Linked DNA regions of Drosophila melanogaster. The protein of the gene in region 1 interacts with the protein of each later gene in a pairwise test. Each region holds a gene or a part of one and is shown on either strand. Other genes may lie near its edges.

Region 1 (7,805 bases):
TGAGTAATGAAATTGTATTTTTTGGCAAAACTTTTGAAAACAACATAGAGGAGAAATTGTAAGTTTTTCATTCTGTACATTCTGTATGGAAACATTTTCTGTTGAATACAGGTGAATAGTGAATTTACTATAAAATTAAGCAAGTTATGTATTCAAATGTTAGACAACTATTTTTATAGATTTATCAGGGGTTAGTTCATAACATGGCCAAAACAGATATCACCGCTAATATGCAGTCTGTTTCGTACTGCCAATAAACATAGCTAACTATCCCTATCACTATTTTCATTATTATTATATTATTAAACTCTTGGACAGCTATTATAAGATATAACCGCTTAAATAAATACTATTTCGTACTGCCAATAAACATAGCTAACTATCCCTATCATTAAAATTTGCGAAAAATGGGAAAAAAAAAATTAATTTTTATTTCTTCATACAGGACGATAGGGAATTTTGCTACGAATTCAATGAGGTTGACATTTAACTCTTTGACAGCTGTTTTTAATGCTATTGAGAAAATACTGATTACTTTTTACCAAAAATAAACAAAATAAAAATTGCCAAAAATAAACAAAATAAAAATTTGCAAAAATCGGATATTTACAAACGGGTTTTTTTTTCATAACTTGGCCAAAAAAGATTCACCGGCAAAATTAGGACTACAGATTGTTGTTTGCCAAAAAAAAAGAGCAAGATAAAAATGTTGTCTCCATAGCTGCGACAAAAAATTGTATCACAGGTATTTTGAAGACTGCTGTTTATAAAACTAGCTAACTGTCCCCATACCTATTTTATGTTTTTCGAATACAAACTAAGATCTGTGAAAAATAGAAACTACCAAAGGATGACATTCCAAAACAGGTGCCAAGCTAACGGGTGTCGAGAAACGCGTAAAGCAAGTAAAGCCTTTTTAATTTAAAAAGTGGATAGGCTAAACTTTATATAATTTTTGACACTTTGTCTTTAAGCGAACGGCGGCAGAAGAGCCAGATTCCACCGACTTCTACTGGAAAAACTCGTTTCGCGTTTTTTCTTAAGCGTTGAACCAATATGGTAACTCCTTTTACTGACCAAAATTTCAGAGAGAAATTCACTAAACGCACCGAATGTTTACCTTTTCATCAACAAAATAATATTGGCTGCCTCAATTTTCGCTTCTTGTACATGTTCTGTATAGGCTTTAATTGATATTTCTCTTAAACCATCAACAGGTTTTCGGTCGACTTGGCCAATTGCAGTTGGAACCAAACCGCTTCTTACCCCCTTTTCTTTCAAGCTGGCAATTTTTCTTGTGTTTCAGGTTTTCCTTAGTGCAAAATTGAGCGGAAAAACTCGGCCGATTTTGCTTCCAGTCTATATTCATATATCCAGCTCAACCATTTGGCACTTAACACTGCAATTACCAGCGAAATTTCAATATTTCCACAAGGGACTTAATCGCCGGAATCATGATACTCTTACATTCGTAAAAGTTATTGTGCGCTAAAAAAGGCACCCATATTTGTCAGGCACTGGACAGGTTGTGAGCCTTCAAAATGTGGTATGTAATATAGTGGTTCGGGAAGATTATTCATATTCATGTCTCCGGACCCCAAAAACTTTAAAACCAGTTAAGGATCACCAGCTATCGCTTGACATTTGTTCACCTAACACACGATCACAAAGCGAGTTTTAAAGAAGGCCTTTACAAAAGGTGGGGGGCACGACTCTACGTGATGGGGCCGAAAGACTTCGTCTACGACGCCTGGTCTTCGGCTATTTTTGTTCGGTTAAGCAAACCCGAAATTCAAGCCACCAGTCTTCAGTTCAAACTCAGTCAATAAAGTCGCAGTGCGGAAAAATATCGCAGACTCGAGAGTTGAAAACAACAAATAATAAGTAGCATAACTCTCTCTCTGTCGCACTCAATCAGGCCTGGGCCTGGCAGACTGTGTGTAAAATAAATAAATCAAAAAACAAAATTCAAGACATTATAGTGAATTTAAAGTGAATTATCAAGTATATATTCGCGTCGCGTTGGAAAATATACTTTTTTTTTTTTTTTTGTTTCTATAATAAAGTTTTGTCTAAGTGTAATTCTTTTAGCCAACCAGGTTTTAACTTTAATTAGACACATTCCAAAAGGTGAGCTCCAAACGTGTCTTAGGGCCAAAAGCTGGGCCTTCGAATGACGACGGCACGATCCCCCACATTCCCCGCTTTGTATTCCGATTTTATCTTGGCTTCAACTGCAGATTTTTCCACACTAGCTAAAGCGTGTTTAGCTTTGCATTCCGATTTTATCTTGGCAACAGAAACAATAATGCGCCAGATATAATTATTAAATCATGGCAAGCAATGGCTTGAATGCAAAAAGCAACAAGTTCTGATATGGGGAAACCGGTTCTGGAATAGCTCTTCCACAAGCTCGCACACAAGATTGTTGATCCTGTTGCTCAAATCATTTAAGATTCAGACAGGTTCACTTTTAAATTTGGATGCATTTATTAACTGAGTACCGAAAAAAATTAACCGTTGCTACGCTTTTTGAGAATGTGTTTCTTTGGTTCAGAGCCCGTTTTCTTAAGTATTTTTAACTCTATTTCAGAGCTTGTTTTTAAACAGATTTAACAGTACAGATATGATAAAGGTAAACCATTAACTAAATTCGACCAAAATTATGTTCAACACCACACTCTTCTGACATAAAAAAAAAAAAAAATGAAAACACAGGCTATAGACGAGTGCCATGACTGCAAAGCAAATGCAGATATATTTCTATATAATAAAAATATTTTTCGAAAGTGTATAGATATTTCGTTGTGGATTCTTTGTCAGTTGCATGGAAACGGCGTATACGCAACAAAAAATTATTAGGCATGTCCAAACAGAGACATATGATTAAAATTCCCGAAGCATACGCAGATCAACCATCAAAAAACCTCAATTATAAAGTGGAAACACTAGGAAAGGAAAGTTTGATGACAACGTCCTAAATGTTCGCGATTACACTGAACTTTTTTTTTATTTTTTCGAATTGACTGCCACTGATGGTTAAGTCAGCAGAATTTGTTAATCTGTCTGTCTCTATTTTATTATCGTTTCCAACCGTTCTGTGCCTATCCATTTGATGTAAGATATCCTTGACTTTTGGGGCCTTCCCGCAGAAACAAAGATGTTTACAGTTATATACGTGTAAGCCCTTAAGCATCAATTGATTAAGTCCCATCTGATTTCGTGTATGTTTCCAACAAGAAAAAAGCTTAAAAGTGCATAGAAGGCATTCCAAATGGTTGCAAATAGAAAATAAGAAATAATAAAAAAAAAAAACATTTCAGAGAAGCAATTGACTTTGTTGAAATAGAAATAGCTTTGAAAGTGGCACAAAGCAATTTTAATGCTGAATGGAGCGTGAAGTTGTTCAGCTGCAACGCAAAGCATTTTTTAAGATTTTATTTTCGATTTTTGGGCCAACAAGAGTAGACATCTAAATTTAAAATAAAGTGCAATTATACATGACACACACACGATATCCGAATTTGCTTATGAATCAATAATTGGTTTGCAAACAAAAATACAAAGGTTTTATACATCGAAACAACTTTTTACACAACCTCGTCGTAGCAAGATATAAATATTTGCAAGATATAAAAATGAAATATCTTTAAAAAGAAAGACTTATACACAAAGCTATATAAACTGGAATTGTCATGCTAACAAAAATTATCTATACATACTTTATACGTTATCATCAAATACTTTCTTCCTTGCATAGAAACCCTTTGATTGAACTCATTTTATCCTAGCCAAGGGAACAATTCGGTCGAAAGCGATGGTAGATTATCATTTATAGGTTTCCTTTTACTACTCCCACGAAATGTAACCACATATTGATGGGTCGCAATAATGATGTCATCCGATCCCAAATTCTCGGAGTAAAGTGCCATCACGCCCGTGCTTAGCTCACTTGACTGGAAGCCGATGATCTAATCTTAATGGGGAATAGCAACATCAACAATCGCCACTATCTTACATCTGAACTTGAAAACAAGCGGAATATAATAAAAAAGTGCTGGTTGTGAACTTCAATAGAATGGCAACGCCGTAAACTTAATCAAAAACAAAGAACTAAAAAGAAAAGTCTTGCAAAGATTTTTAATTCATTGCAGTGGGTATGTTAAATCGTGGCCAAACACGATAGATTCATACAATATGTATATAGAACAATGAAAGTAATGTACTTCACATCTTAGCTCAGATACGAAATCTTGTAAATATAATTCTTAACTAAAAATTAAATAAATTAAATTCGTTAAATCTTCTCACTAAGTTTTTCCAATTTCCTCGTATTGTTTGATTGCCATAATGCTTTTGTTTTTTAAGCCGTTTGTTTGTTTTATTACCTAGCCGGTTGCGGTTGCAGTATCACTGTATCGGTAGTTTGACCAAAATCAGCGTACATTACGTTTATCCTACACATAAATTCCGCGAGTAAGCCCGAAATGCTGCAGATATGGCAAGCCCATTTCCGAGCGTCAACAAATTTCTTTCAGCTTAACAATGAAGGAAAACGGTGAAGCAGTCAGAGTATGTAAATTTAACAGCTAGTTCAAGCAAAAGATAAAACTGTCATTATGCCTTTAATTTTCATAATTTACCTCGAAGAATTATTTGATCACCAATAAATTTTTTTTAATAATGATCAAAAATCAAATATCAAAACTTCAAGCGGCGTAAACTGATACCGACTGGAACTATTTATTTGCTGTGTAATTGGGTTAAAAAGACTTGTCATAGCTCTTCAACTAGAGTAGTATGGGCACAAACTCTCAGTTCGGTTCATCCCCTGTCTGTAAAACGCACATACCAGACCCCATCCTTCCTTCATTTTCCTCATCAGAAGTGGAAAGTCGAGAAAACGTAGTCATAGCTTACTTCCAAATGGTTGGGTACGCCTCGCTGGACACGTTCGTTTGACGTGTCCATGGATCCAAAAATACTTGGATAGCTATGTATCTATATGCCGTTACCCCACTTGGAACATTTTCGATTTCTTCAAGAGATCGGCCGAATTTTTGTACACGCGTTGAAAAATGTGCAATAATTAAATAATTACAAATAAAAAGAGAGGAAATAGTGCAAGACAAGCGTAAAGTTGTTATTTGAGGCTCAAGAGTCAGACTGAGATGTACATGCATATGTATACGTGTATGTATATCCACTTCATATACTGCAAGTGCAATCTCAGGTTACCCAACTCTAGAGGGTGATTAAACTCCTCGTTTGGAAGAGAAAGTGTCCAATAAAGTAAATATATACGTGTTACACACATTTTCGTTATCAAACCTTTATAAACTTCTTGATGTTTAATTTCCTAACATCTTAATATACCCAGACTATATAAATTCAATCTCTGGTTACCGAACTCTAAAAGGTTATTAAACTTCTCGCCTAAATGAAAAAGTGTCGATTAGATCCAGACATAGTTTCATTAAAAAACATTTATAAAGTTCTTAATATTTAAATACCCAATCTCATATATATTCTTAGAGGTTTAAAACGCATTGGGTTTATTATATATTGCTTATTGTTTATTATTATATTGCATCAAGTCTACTGCGATTCTTCGGTCACTACGAGACACCGCAGAACTAAAAAGGATTGCATATTAAGACTTCAGGAGAAAGTGAAATTAAAAATTCTAAAATTTATTATATATATTAATATATAATAAGAGCTGTTCGAGGTCGTAGGGATAAATGTCATTGACATCTTGCTCAAAACGCATCGAATGAAACATCAGTTGTAAAAACCGAACACCTTAAACATTTTACGATAATGCCCCAAAGCTTTTGAGGTTCGTGTTACATTTGCAACTGTATAGCACTTCAGATTGCTTAACTATTTGCTATTTATATACAATTTCTTTCTTTTTTTAATTCGGCTATATAATCAAATCCTCTAAAATGTACCAATTAAATGCACTATAACGTTAAACTCTTGCTAGGTTTAAATATTTTTATGAAGATTGCCGACTGAGTAAATGTAAGAAAGATCATCTGTAGTCAGTATAAAACAAATTACATTTTCAGTTCTACCACATTGTTCACCTTTAATCTCACCTTTTTTCTGCTATTCCAGCGATGTCATAATGGAGGCAATGACCATGCTGGTGTTGGGCTTCCAGTTGCTTGCGCTTTTTTCGATCGCCGGCGCGCTGCTTATCTACCTGATTTGTAAGGTGCGCGAGGATAGCGCATCTGCCAATGCGGATAGTCATCCCAGTCGGGTGGTCCTGATAACCAGTGCGGATACCGCATTGGGTCTTCAATTGTGCACCCATTTGGCTAACAAGGGTTATCGGGTTTTTGCTGGAATGAAAGAGGCCCAAGATTCGCTACCCGCCAAACTTCTTTGCGGTTGGATGAAGATCCGAGAGTACAGTGAGGAACCCATTGCAGGCACAATTATTCCGATGAGATTGGATGTCACCCGAGAGGATGTGCTTCGCGAGGCCACCGTTATTATAGGCGCTAATCTAAATGCAGATGAGCGCGGTATTGCGGCCGTAATTAACACTAGTGGCAGTGTTTTCCGAGGCCAGGTTGAATCGCAGAATGTCCAGCAGTGGGAACACATGCTCAGAACCAACATCCTGGGCACCTTACGTGTGGCCAAGGCCTTTGTGTGTTTTCTCCGTCCGACACGTGGAAGACTCCTTTACTTGGGAGGAGTAAGTGGAGGTGGAAATGCTCGAAACGAAGGTGATGGACTGGTTGCCTTTAACGCCTCACGCGTTGCCGTAGACAAGTGTGCCGAAGAGCTGCGCAAGGAGCTGCATCCCTATGGCGTCAGTGTGGTCGCTTTGGATACATGCGGCATGACGGCGGAGTCATTGTACAAGGCACCAGTGGCACAAAGTAATGTTTTCCATCATCGTTGGGAATCAATTATATATAATTTTATGTTTGTAATTTATTTCAGCCATGTCCTTGGTCGTTGGGGCTCCTACGCAGTATACAGCGGACGTGCTCAGTCCGGACGCTCTTCATGTGATCGAGCGGGCGTTGTGGGACTATGTTCCGCAGCAGCGATATGCGCTTCTAAGTCATAACAAATACCAATTTGCGTTGCCATGTCGCTCCTCGCTGCGACTTCAGAGGCCGGTAGCTTCAACAGTCGGCGAGAGCGCCAGTCAGTCGGTTTAAAATTTGTCTTCTTCCATTTCCTGTACATATGCTCCTGATCCTGATCCCATTTAGTATAACGCGTCTGATCCTGCTCCTTTCCCTAATTTAATATTTTTACAATATATTTCGATTGATGTTTCTTTTTTCTGTTCTGAGGGCTTTTATAATATTTACTTTTTAATCGTTTTTGCTCACACTGCTAACGGTGTAATTGTTGAACGTTATATTTAATGTTATCATACATAAAAAAATAAAGATAATATATGTGCTGTCTATATATGTCTGTCCAACTTCTGGAATTTATACCTTTGTTTTACATTTTACGTTTGTGTAGTTCTTATTCGTACTTCGAGATAAAGTCAAAGCGCAACACGGAGGCCGGGAAAATTTCACCAGCTTTCGCCAATGGTCGATCAGAAGTACGTGCAGGAAGGTTTATTAAAACATCGGCACCAACAATGCTCTGCAAGCGACTACTAATCTAGAATAATCGCAGGAAAACCGTCATAATATGTCGTTTAATTTAAGGAAAAGTGGCTTACTTGATTTCCATTGACGCTCGCGTATAACTCTCCAGACTTCGAAATCACGGAGGCCCGAACGAACTCCGGGCGGCTATCTAAGCTGAAG
Region 2 (4,714 bases), on another chromosome or scaffold:
CGCAGTAACAATTTGAATAAACTGTGAGTTGATGGGAAACTAGCTGAACTGTCAACTCTGGGGCAAGTACATAACGCCTAGGCTTTTACTTGCGCACAGCGACCGGCAAAAGGGGGCAAGTGGCATGTTGGTGTCAGGTTGCCGCATGTGCACCACTCCGCCGAATGCCCGCACCACCTCTGGCAACCCGTGCACCGCTCAGTGGGTAGCTAGTCCCACGACCCACCGATGGTAAAATAGCAAAACGGCAAGAAGCAGCGGCTGCGGCGACGACACGGCCAGTCAACTTTTGGCTCGGCTAAACAAAAGTGTCTTCGCAAGCTAAAAATAACCACTGTTTTGGCCCAGCTGCTTCCAACACACCCCTACCCTCTCCTCATTTTCCCGCCGACTTTGTGGCTCCATGGCCCGATCCTCTTAGTCGCTAGCTTGCGCTTCCTGTTCTGTGTGCAAATCTGTGCCAAATGTTTTCCAAGAAAACGCAGTATGCAAATACATATTGCATTTAAATTCTTGCTGCAGCAGCAGCAAAGCAGCAGCAAGTGTGGCAAATACAGGAAAAGGGGCAAAAGGGGCGGCCTCATTAGTGGCAAGACACTTGAAATTAGAGTTTGCAACTACTGCTACTGCTGCTGCTGTTGGCCCCAACCGAACTGAACGCTTGGCGATGATGAAAGTGATTTATGTCCGGCAAAGCAATGTTCCTCAGCTCCTCGTAGACACGAGACCCGATGTCTGGCCTGGCAGCAGCTTCATCTTGGCCAGGAAACATGTTTGTGGGCTGCTACCGCCTTGCAGCTGTGCTGTCCACACCCTGTAATCAAAGATAAGAAGCGTGTTGGAAATGGGGGGGGCTAAGTTCATAATGTTTTAGTACAAACTGAAATAGATATGAGCCTTTCTTTCGGCATTCAACTGCGATTTGTTTGTAGAGCTTGGATTTAGATTATAATAAGGTTTGGGTTTATAAGCCTGGTAGTTGAATTTTAGTGAATTGTGTATTTTTTGCAATCATTCAATAAAGTATAAATTTGATTTTTGCTATGGGTACATTTGGGTTTAAAACTTTGAATGCACTTGATTTTTTTAAGAGAAACTAGTTTTAAAAAACGAAGAAGATCAAGCAGAAGAAGCTGAGAAAAGAAACAATTGCATAGGAACCCTGAAGTGCACTAGACCTGAACTATTACTATTTTTTCGCTTTTCTAGCGCTTTTTGCAATGGCACGGCATAACTGAAGCATATCTGCGCACACTTCTCGCCGGTGGGGCACATAAAATGAGATAAATAAATGCAGAATGTTAATCCCGCAAGTGTCTTAAACACGGCTTAAGTATATGTTTTATTTTCGCTTCAGTTCCTGGCGTATTTTAAACTTTTTTGTGACCTACAAGCGGAGTGAAGAACTCACCACGAGTTGGGTTCTGCCCCACAAGTGAGAGATAGAGAGAGGGAGAGAGCATGGAAGAGAGCGGGCTCCAACTCTAATCAGCATCAGCTGTAGTTTGTTTTTGTTTTGATGCGCCACATGGCGGGCACTCACTCTCTTGCGCTCCCGCTCTCTTCCCGTGCAGCTTTTGCGCTCTGAGTGAGTTGGGTTTCGGTCGTTGTTTTTGGATCGATAAAACTTCTCGCGCTGCCGTGGTATAAAATGCTTTTCACTTTTCCCACTGCACTTTAGTCGCCAGACATTTATCGAAACGTGCACATCACCAGCGGTCGCACACTCAAACATATTGCATATATATATATATATATATATATTGCTATCCCAACAAAATATCCTTCGAATCGAAAAAAACCCACGCGAGTGCAAATCAAAAGTTTTTTAGCTTTCTTTGTGAGTGAAGTGTTTTTTGGGAATTTTTTCGGTAGTTGGTTGGGAAAACGTTGCAAGATATCCTGGCTTATCCAACTAAAGGAATTTCGTCCGTTTTCTGTCCGCTCTTACTGCACCCCCCTCTCCGCATATCTCTTGTCCGTTCTCTCCCGGGATGCTCCTTGCATTCTCTCGCAGTTGAGTAGGGTTTATTGATTTTACGCACATGCAGCATCCCCATCTATGAGTCATCATCATTCGTCCTGCAACATTTTCCCCCACGTGCCTAATCTCCGTTTTCCCCCACATCCGCGTGCGCTTAGATTTTTCCAGTGCGAAAAGTAAAGCAATTGCATCCATTCAACAGAGAGATTATCCTTTCGCCAAACAAATAGAAACAGAAATGGCCGCCTACGCTGCTTTCAAACACGTTGAGCTTTACAATGTTGGCAAAGCAAAGAAGAGGTAAGAAATTCCTAAAGGATACAGTTAAAGTGACATTTTTAAAGACTTCAGAACAAAGAATTTGCATGTCAAAAAATGAATCGATAAATTCGTTGTCCGGATTTATTACACATTTTTACACGGAAAAGGGAGTTCATCAGTTTTTGTCAATGCATGTCCCCATGCAAGAAAAGTCGTTTAATACGAGTACAAAAAGTGGCCTTTGTTAATAATGCTTTTGTCAAAAACCATCTTCTGAGGTTTTAAAAGGGTATAAATCACCATGACGCACAAAGAGAATCATATGGCTGGTAATTTCAGTAAATAGATATATTATCAATATTTATTCAAAATGAGTCTCACTAATTATGACAAGCTGCAAAGAATTGAAGGAATATTGTTTTGACAATGACGAACAATGATTAGTAGGTTCTTTATTAACAAATAATGTTCTCATGTAAATCATTACAGCTAGGACAATCAATATATTCTGTATTTGTTTAAAAATCTGTGTATCATAATAACGTAACTTACACGATGTTACTCAATGTGTTTGACTTATATTGAGGTTATTCGCCGACCGACTCATTTTCCCTGAAGTTTAACAACTGTTACGTGCCTACTGCACATTCTGTTATTGTTTGCCATCGCTCGAGTGAACTTTGATTGGCAAACATTTCGGAAGGCAGCAGCCTCATCGTGATCTGCATCAACATCTCCATTTCCATCTTTATCCCATTGTCTGAGCTGTCGGGCCGCACAAACACCGCACACTTACATATTCATTTGGTTATGTGTGTAGATTAATTTAGCGTTCATTCACCTCGCCGCCGCCTGACTGACTGACTAACTAATACTACCCATACAGTCGCGTGTGCACGGGGCGTATGTGTAATCTGGGGAGCACCACTTTTGCAAGCGCCTACTTCCCACAAAACCGAAACCACCTAGCAAGTGAACCACCACCACCCAGCAAAGCCAAGCCAAGCCAAGCCGCCGGTGTTGGCATGTCTTTGGATGTCGTCTCATTGATTTTCCTTTGCCAACCCAACGGCCACCTGCCCCACGCCAACCCACCGCACAAAGCACCACCCGCGACACCACCACTGCAGTCGTCCACTCGATGCTACCGCACCAAAGTCAAAGGGACCGACCGGCGTTCTTTGGGAATATACCCTTTCTTGCTCCGAGGCGTATGACAATCTCTTTTCGTGCCATCAAAACAATGCGCAATTTTAATTACGAGGTGTTAACGAAATATACTATTTGACGTGACACTACTACTAATAATAATAATGTTTGCACATCTAAGCAAAAGTGATTTCTCGGCTTCATCTGTGTTTCATTTAATTTCAAGGAGTAACTGCCAAACCGCTCTGTCAGTCTTTGCATAAAAAAAAATGGTGGCTTTATTAAACTATTTTTAGTTTATTAAAACTTGTTTTATTAGTACATAGACTTTGAAAGTTCAAAGTGTAGAATGGCATTTTTACAGTTATGAAGCTTATGATTTTTTATGGCATACTAAAATCCATAATAGCCGCCTATGGTGTACTAAAAACATTGGTTATGCAGTTATTATGAAAATTCAATTTTAGCTTCAACTCACTTTTCGGCAATCAAACAGATTTGTTAAACATAAAAACTGATTAGATTCGCCCATTATCCAAATGATACGAAATATAATAAAATGTTTATTATTGAACAATCACGTCCTATTACCGCTAAAAATAAATCATTATATTATTACCGTTTATCGCCGCTTGTACGACGAGGGTATTTCCCCCATCGACTTCTCTCAACTATGGCCCGCCTTTCTTTTTCAGTTAGTTTCGGCATTTGTTTTTGCATGCAATTCTTTGACCAAGCCCCATGTGCCCAGCACCACCCATTTTTCGCCTTTCGAGTGGGGAAACAACAACAAAATCGTTATCGAAATGTTTTTCGCTTATGTCTATTCCGTATACCACTCTTACGCTCTCGTACCTGTTCCGAGTTTGAATTCGTGTCCAAGTCCGCTTCCCTGTCCGCTGTTCCGACCGTCTGTCCGTCCGTCCGTTCAACTGTCCGTTTGTCCGTTGTCCGTCGTCCGCTGGTCCGTGGCGGACATTGAACCCCGCCTCTCTTCGCGGCCGTTGGGATCGGAGATTAGTTTTGGTCGCGGCAGAAACCAAATAGAAACAATTTTCCTTATGTGTGCCATGTGCATTATAAACAATTTGCTGGATTTTATGGTCCATCGATGGGTGGCTGGCTGCTGGGGATAAAGTGTGGAAAATGTGTTAATCATTGTCATTGATTGCGATTGTGTAACATACCGCCTTGGACTTTCCCGCCGGCGGCTGGGGGGAAAATGATTAATATACTTTTCCTCTGCATTTCGATGCAGCGTTTTGTCTGCCGTGTGTGTGTGTGTGTGTTCTCCTTTCTTCGGCAAAGCCATGACTTATT

The links. The genes of interacting proteins can lie anywhere in the genome.
Region 2: the proteins of CG13377 (region 1) and Jupiter interact in a two-hybrid assay, tested with the Drosophila melanogaster proteins (one large-scale study listed by BioGRID).

Annotation. Positions count from the first base shown.
Region 1 is NC_004354.4:257,993-265,797, reverse strand, and holds CG13377 (uncharacterized protein), read left to right. Parts: upstream 1-1,798; 5' UTR 1,799-1,936; exon of another isoform or gene 1,937-2,130; intron 2,131-6,107; exon of another isoform or gene 6,108-6,126; 5' UTR 6,127-6,136; coding exon 6,137-6,905; exon of another isoform or gene 6,906-6,969; coding exon 6,970-7,193; 3' UTR 7,194-7,463; downstream 7,464-7,805. Other genes in the region: cin (cinnamon), read right to left, coding at 7,513-7,656, 7,718-7,805.
Region 2 is NT_033777.3:11,601,712-11,606,425, reverse strand, and holds the start of Jupiter (jupiter), read left to right. Parts: upstream 1-1,671; 5' UTR 1,672-1,840; intron 1,841-2,142; 5' UTR 2,143-2,222; coding exon 2,223-2,284; intron 2,285-4,714. UniProt on the Drosophila melanogaster protein: Binds to all microtubule populations.